Linked DNA regions of Caenorhabditis elegans. The protein of the gene in region 1 interacts with the protein of each later gene in a pairwise test. Each region holds a gene or a part of one and is shown on either strand. Other genes may lie near its edges.

Evidence for each region. Proteins that work in one complex are often made in the same cells at the same time.
Region 2: the proteins of C49C3.6 (region 1) and sup-46 interact in a two-hybrid assay, tested with the Caenorhabditis elegans proteins (one large-scale study listed by BioGRID).

What each region holds. Positions count from the first base shown.
Region 1 is NC_003282.8:17,329,525-17,333,101, reverse strand, and holds C49C3.6 (uncharacterized protein), read right to left. Parts: upstream 1,576-3,577; 5' UTR 1,572-1,575; coding exon 1,459-1,571; intron 1,412-1,458; coding exon 862-1,411; 3' UTR 861-861; intron 808-860; 3' UTR 655-807; downstream 1-654. Other genes in the region: C49C3.7 (Coiled-coil domain-containing protein 176), read right to left, coding at 1-351, 399-523; ceh-88 (Homeobox domain-containing protein), read right to left, coding at 2,405-2,566, 2,624-2,767, 2,812-2,922, 3,307-3,501.
Region 2 is NC_003279.8:10,170,707-10,174,462, forward strand, and holds the start of sup-46 (RRM domain-containing protein), read right to left. Parts: upstream 1,898-3,756; 5' UTR 1,862-1,897; coding exon 1,783-1,861; intron 1,704-1,782; coding exon 1,417-1,703; intron 1,350-1,416; coding exon 1,134-1,349; intron 419-1,133; coding exon 317-418; intron 269-316; coding exon 29-268; intron 1-28.

The DNA of each region.
Region 1 (3,577 bases):
TCGGATTTGATCTTCATATCAACTTTAAACTGATTTCCTTGTTGTGCTTTCAAGAATTCCAGCTCCTTCTTGAGTTGGTCGGTGACTTTTAAAAGTTCAACATTTTCAGCAGCAGTAGTCTCGAAACAATTTTTGTAGAACTTCGACTCCTCTTCAGCGCTGTCAATTTCGGATTTCAACTTTTTATCAACTTTAAACTGGTTTCCTGGTTGTCTCTTTAAAAATTCCAGCTCTTTTTTGAGTTCATCAGTGGCTTTTAAAAGCTCGACATTTTTAGCAGCAGCTGTTTCAAATCGGTTTTTGTAGATCGTCGACTCCTCTTTAACGATCTTGTACTGGTCTTCAGTGTATCTGTAAATAATTTATATTGTTCTGAATTGCTTCCGTGTAAAACTAACGTCAATGGAAGATTGTGCAGTTTCATCAGAGCTTCCTGTTGTTCGATTTCTTTCTTTTTTCTAGCAAGTGTACCCATAAATCCACAGATTCTTGCATGTTTTTGTCTTTTATTAGGGGGTGGCATGCTTCTGGAAAAAAAAAACTATGATGGAAAGTCTTAACAGGAATTTAAAAAAATTAATAATCGTTGAGATATTTGGATTAAATAATATTATTTTGAAAATGTCAACAATTACAAAAAAAAAAAAAGCTTTTCGAAAATACTTTGTCTATTTATTGGTTTATTCTAATAAAATAAATGCAGTAACGTTTCAAAAACGCTCAAAACAGAAATTAAACGAAGCAGATTTTTGAGTGCTGAGATTCATAAAGTTGAGATGGAATGTGTTGAGTGTCGATTGAGGAATTCTGAAAAAAAAACAATAAAAATTTTCAATCGTTCTTGTAAAATACAAAATTACCTTAATTAACCGACGTCGTATCCAATCCTATCGCCATTTTCAGGAGCATCTCATTGGGTGTTTGGTTGTTCGAGCGTGTGGAGCATTGATTTCTCGGCAGAGATCCACGAGTTGAATTCATTTTTTGAGCTTTCGGTTCTTCTTCCGTTTTTCTACGAGCACTTCTATCAATTTCCAAATCTTCTCGCAGTTCCCACGTGTTACCATTTGAATCATTAGGCACTTCTACGGATTCTACTATGTCGCCCATCATACTTTTCACTCGTGCACTTAGCGCAAGCTTCTCAGCGAGAACATCATAATACCGATTTTGCCAAATTTCTCTTTCACGAAGCAACGTCATATTTGATTGCCTGGTGCTCTCGATTTGGGATTTGAACTTCATATCGACCTTCAACTGATTTCCTTGTTGGTTTTTCAACAATTCCAGCTCTTTTTTGAGTTGATCGTTGGATTTTAGAAGTTCAACGTTCTCGGCGGCAGTAGTTTCGAAGCAATTTTTGTAGAACTTCGACTCCTCTGCAACTTGTTCGTACTGTTCTGCAGTATACCTGTAAATTCGTTCAATTTTTCGCAAAAATATCTAAATAAAACTAACGCTAACGGATGCATGAGAAGAGCTTCATGTCGTTCAATTTCCTTTCTTTTTTTTGCGGGTGGGCCTTTCAGTCCATTGATTCTACCTGCCGCTCGTCTCTTGGACAGTGGCATTTTTCTGAAAAGAACCAATATTTTGTGAGGGAAATTTATAAAATTTCGCAAAAATCAAAAGTAAAACATCGCACGCACATTGATATCCATTAACTGATATAATTTAACAAAAGTGAGACAATCAAGAGAAAAAAGTACAATCAGTCTCGTAAAAAGAAACCGAACAAACAAAATCCGTCTCGTTGTCCCGCGTCTCTCATCTCTGGTGCATGACGCTGGAGCGCACTTTCCTCTTCTAAATTTCATTTTCTGTAGAAACTTTCAGGCTTGTCAGAAACATAAAAAGCCTTGAAATATGCACTTTATAGGATTAAAATGGATCCATCATATTTTTGTATTCAAACTAAAATTGTTCACAGAATGTTTTGTTTGGATATGCAGAAAGAGAATCCAAAAAATACTATGATAAATATTCGCAGTATTTCCATAGGAATATATTTATTGGATTGCTTTGGATAATTTCCTTTTTAAATATCATAATTTTGCAAAAATTTCACACGTCAGTTTAAAGGTACACGCTGATTTCCTGAATAGGTCTCGCCACGATCTCGATCATAGTGGTTGTTAAATACTGGTGCCCTGTGAAGTTTATGTAATTTCAAATTCTGAACTGTGCAGGGAAACCAAAAATTTGTCCGAAGACATTCATAGATTAGTTTTATGTTTTTTTGCGAAGAGATGCTACAGTAATCTCAATATTTTTTTAAATTCTAAGAGCTCATATCACGAAACTACATGAACAACCTAATTATAGATTCATCTCTGTCCAAATTATCAGAAAACACTAGAAACTACAAAGAACTACTTTATTAAAAGAAAAGCATTTCGAATTATTAACAGTCCGTTGAACAAAGCGTCCCACTTTGAGTCACAATTTTAATCAAAATATCTTGAATATTTTGCTGCGTATTTTGCGGAGAAACTTCACGAGTATTCTCCATATTCTCCAAGAACCGCTTGTCTCTTCCTTTTCGCTTCGAGAACCAATCACGAATCTTTAAACAATAAAATTGTTCAACTGGCGCCAAAAGCTTTGCAAAAAGTCTCCTTACCTTCTTCCTCTCCATTCCAGTTTTCTCCACTAATTCCGTATATGGAATTCGAACTTTTCCTCCACCAATCGCCTCTAGTTGCAACATAGTCTCGTACTCCTTCTCAAAAAGTTCCACAGCTTCAGATCGAAAAGTTCCGACTCTCTAAAACAAAGTTTCGATTATTTACCAAACTTTGGAACTCTCACCCCTAAGCCGTTCTTTTTCATGTCTTCTCGAATCCGCTCCCTTCGTTTCTTGTCTTTCTCCGCACTTCGTCCATCAGCTTTACGGCGTTGATTGCAAAACCAGTTGTTGATCTGAATTCAATTATTTTATAAATTTTTGTCTTGAAAAAATTTTGGTCCGACCTATAAATCACCAGGTAGGCTTTTGCAAAGTGGCTTCAAAAATGGAAACTCGGTCATACTCAAAATTTAAAACGGTTTAATTTTTTCCAAAAATATGCCTACAGGTATGATCTATGGAAATATGTTGATCAGTTACTTATACCAACATTTATAATAATTTTATGGGAAGTTGGTAAAAATATATGTAAGAAAAAATTACGAACTATGAAACTCTGCCATTGTTTTTTGCTTTAAAAAAACTTGGAATGAGCTATAATTTAATTGTTTTGGTTTTTTTTTCTTGTGATTTTTTCTGGTCGACAATATTCTGAGACCGTCCTTATGTTCTATTACCTGCTTCACAGTTAAGCCAGTAATTTCTGATAACTCCCTTGCACCATCTGAATCCATTTGAGGTGTAACGAGAAACGCTTGATCCAGAGCACCCCGTTGTTCACTTGTGAACTCATACATTTGCTTGGGTGGCGGGGGCACATACTTTCCAGCTCGTTCATCTTTCTTCCGGAGACGGGACAAGGTATCTCTGACCTAAATTATTTCACCTAATTTAATTAAATTGATAGTTATTCGGAATATAAAGTTTTTAGATTAATTTTTGGTATTT
Region 2 (3,756 bases), on another chromosome or scaffold:
CCGATGAAATTTGTTTTAAATCGCTTACCGGCACTGAAGCATCTCCTGGGAACATTCCATGAACATTGGAAAGTGGTGCTCCTTCTGCTCCAAGACCCATTCCGATTGACTCAAGACCTCGTGGAAGTCCACCTTCTTTGTGCTCCAGTTCCTTATCGAATCTATCCATTTTCACAACCAGATTTCGATCAAAAAGTCGCTGACCATTGAGCATCGAAACGGCTTGTACGGCTTCAATTGGGTGAGTGTATTGAATTACGCATACTCCCTGGAAGACACCATTTATATTTTATAGGAACTATAAATATTAACAAACCTTTGACTTTCCTTCTTTATCAATGCGGAAGTCCATCCAGGTGATTTTACCGGCCATACCGAAGACTTCGTAAAGCTTATCGGTTCCGACATTGAAAGCCAACTGAAAATGTTTGATTAATAATATTGTCTTGGAAACAGAAGTGGAATTTCGGAAATTCTATAAAATGACATATTTCGCCATGTTAAATATAGAAAATCACTTTTTTAAATCTGAAAATAACACTTATTTCAGATAAAACACTTGGAAAAGCGCTTCAAAAATACCAGGATGTTGCAAATTGCCGATCATCAAATTGTTGAATTATCGTTTCTCGGCAAATGGCAACTTTTGGTCATTTTCGCGCACTTTTCCAAATGTTTAAAACGAGATAATTTTTTTTTAATTTTCAGATAAATCAAGTGATTATCTACATTTTCAGACTAATTTTTGATGAAAACTTTTGAAAAAAACATGTCGCAATAGGTCATTTTGTAGCATTTCCGAAAATAATTGCCAACCACCTCTGATTGGGAACTAAGAATGGTATTTAGTAACTGAATTAGTGATGCTATATTTTATTCGTATGATACTGAGAGATCTACCCGGAGGATGCAACTGTCTGAACAAACTATAATAAGCACTGATTCCATTTTGTTGTATATAATTCCACGTAGAAAGCTTCCTACTACTATTCCGTTTAAAAACACCAAAATGAAAAATTGCATTTATTTCTCCCATTCGAATAATTTCATATCTCAAAACTGAGATAAAGACCCAGCAAGTGAACGTGGTCTAGATGTGGAGCCCTTCGAGAAGAAGAATATTTGAAACCTACATTGGCGATGAAGATGCGCTCACAGAGTGGCGGTTCAATGTTGTGTTGGCGAAGGAATTCCATATTGAGACCGAATAAATCATAAGTTCCAGTTCGAGTAGGGCGATCAAGATCTTTTGGTGGAGGACCTCGTCCTCCTGCACCACCACCTCCGGTACGAGACAAGTAATCAATGCCTGTTTCAGTTTTGATGGTTCGGAAGAAAGCATTCGGATCCTACAGAAAAAATAAAAAATGGATGAAAATTTCTGAATGTGAGTGTCAAAATTAAATAGATACGGACCCGAATTTCTTTGGCGATGATGGTTCTTCCCTTCCAGTCGAACTTTTGTAGATTCTCAACGCATTTTTCGGCACCCTCACGAGTTTCGAACTCAACCACAGCGTTACCCTTTGGCTTGCCGTTACGGTCTTCGAGCAACTCGCAGAAAGCGACTTCACCTCCTTTCTCGCGAACTAGACTTTTCAAATCGACCCAACGAGCCTCATAGGCGATATTGGTGATAAAAACCATTCGGTTGTTCGATGATGAGTTCCCATTGTTACTTCCAACAGCAGCGCCGATACGACCTTAAGGAAATGGAAAATAGAGAAGGATTTCTATGGAAAAAATGGTGGAAACGGGAATGAAGAATATCAAAAACTATACTTCTTCTTGGACTTCTGGATCGGCTCCGACGCTCTCGCTTAACATCACGCTGTGGTCCGTCTCGACGATTTCTGTTCATGTTGGCTGATGGAACACGGATCTTGGATTAAGCTTTCTGAATGAGTTGAACTAGAATCAATTAGACGATAAGCAAATGTTTTCATATAACAACGGGCTTCTTTAAAAAACAATTGAAATTTTATTTCCATTTTGATTGCTAACAAGTCGAAAATTAATTGTAACTAAAATAATCTGCTCGCTGAGTGGCCCATTTTTATTGTTGAAAGAGATAAAAGATTATTTACTGAACTGTCTCGCCAATGTAATACTTGATTTGACATCGAATTGAAAAACTATGTTACAACAATGATCGAAAACTTATGCACAGATGAGTAAAAAGTTTTGTGATCGCACCTTATTTGCTTCTTTACTTACAAATAGGCCACTCGAGCAAAATTTGACTTGATATCTTACAGAAAGACTAGAATGCTCTAAACTCTCTTAAAATTCCCGAACCGAAAATTAAGTTTTCAAAAAGAGGAACAATTTCGAAATTTATCTATCGGAGCAATTCTCTGAAACATCTTGGAGATTTTCCGACTGATAATGCATATTTAAGCCGCGAGAACCATTTAGCAAATTTTAAAACAAAAAAACGTTTGATTTAACGAAGAAAATAAAGAAAAATAAATACGATAAAAGAGAGAAAAATCGAAATTCGAAAAGAAGAGACGGCGGCAAACACAAGTGTGCATTTGTGCGTCGAGACGAGCCGCACAGCCGACATCAGATTTGACGCCACAAATCGCCGCGAAAAGTGAAGGCTTTTTCTTTGCTGCTAAGCCAGTATTCTGGATCTTTTACGATTTTTTTTTCATTTTCGATAGCATGGTTCTGTGAAACAAGATCTCTGTTCTCTTTGAAACACTCTATTCTATAATTTATTTTATTCTTCAATTGTTTCTTCCATGTTTCCCTAAAAATAATTTTGTTCGTTAATTGTCAATAGGATTTTTATGAACTGAATTCAGTGTCAAATTTCGGAGAAAGAATAGAAAACGTTTTTTGTGAGATAAGCTGCCTCTCGTTTTGTTTTGCCTCCGCATGACAGATTTATTCTCAATTTCACACTAAAAATTATTAATAATTGTACAATTTAGTTTTGCTTCAAGTTCTATAACAACGCGTTTTTGTTTTTTTTTCACAATTCATGCGCTAGCTGTCCAAAAATATTCAAAATGTTTATAGAATAGGTGATTCAACACCAACATTTCAAACTATCGTTCACAAGTCACATTCCAAATGACTAACGTCCATATAAAGTTTCTGATATTGCTCCAATCGTCCCAAATGTCTTATCATATACACTTCATGACGTGTTTTCCCTATTCTTTCTCTTTTCCCGCCGATGACCATGTCTCTCCCTTCTATTCCTCTAGGTTTCACCATACGAATATCAAATCGTATATACATTTAAAAGCCGACGCCTTCTACCATGTCGAACAGTAATCGCATGGAACTAGTTAGTCTTTTCCCAATCGCCGTCATTTCCCTCACTTTTATTCCTTACACTAGATTTTATTATTGATAGAACTGAAATCTTGGTCTTATGTTAACGACAAAAATCGTGCCTCGTTTCATTTTAAATGCAAAACTACCTGCCGTTTATTGCCGCCGTCAAGAGAACAATTCGCACTAGGTTGAGAAGGGCAAAGGTCTTTTATGACCTTTTACGCCCGGGAAGTGAGAAATACCAGAAATCACCTTTTATTTCGATCTATAACTCGAACTTTTAATTTTTCATCTTTAACCAGTGTAGGTTTATTTATTGAATAGATTTGTGTTCCACTCATCTCTTCGGTCAACAGATTTGTTTTCCCCCTGTTTCAAATTTAGCGTGAAGTTTCTACAACAAGACATCGAAATTCCAATTTTATTTCAGTCATATGATTATATATGTTTATGAAAATAGAC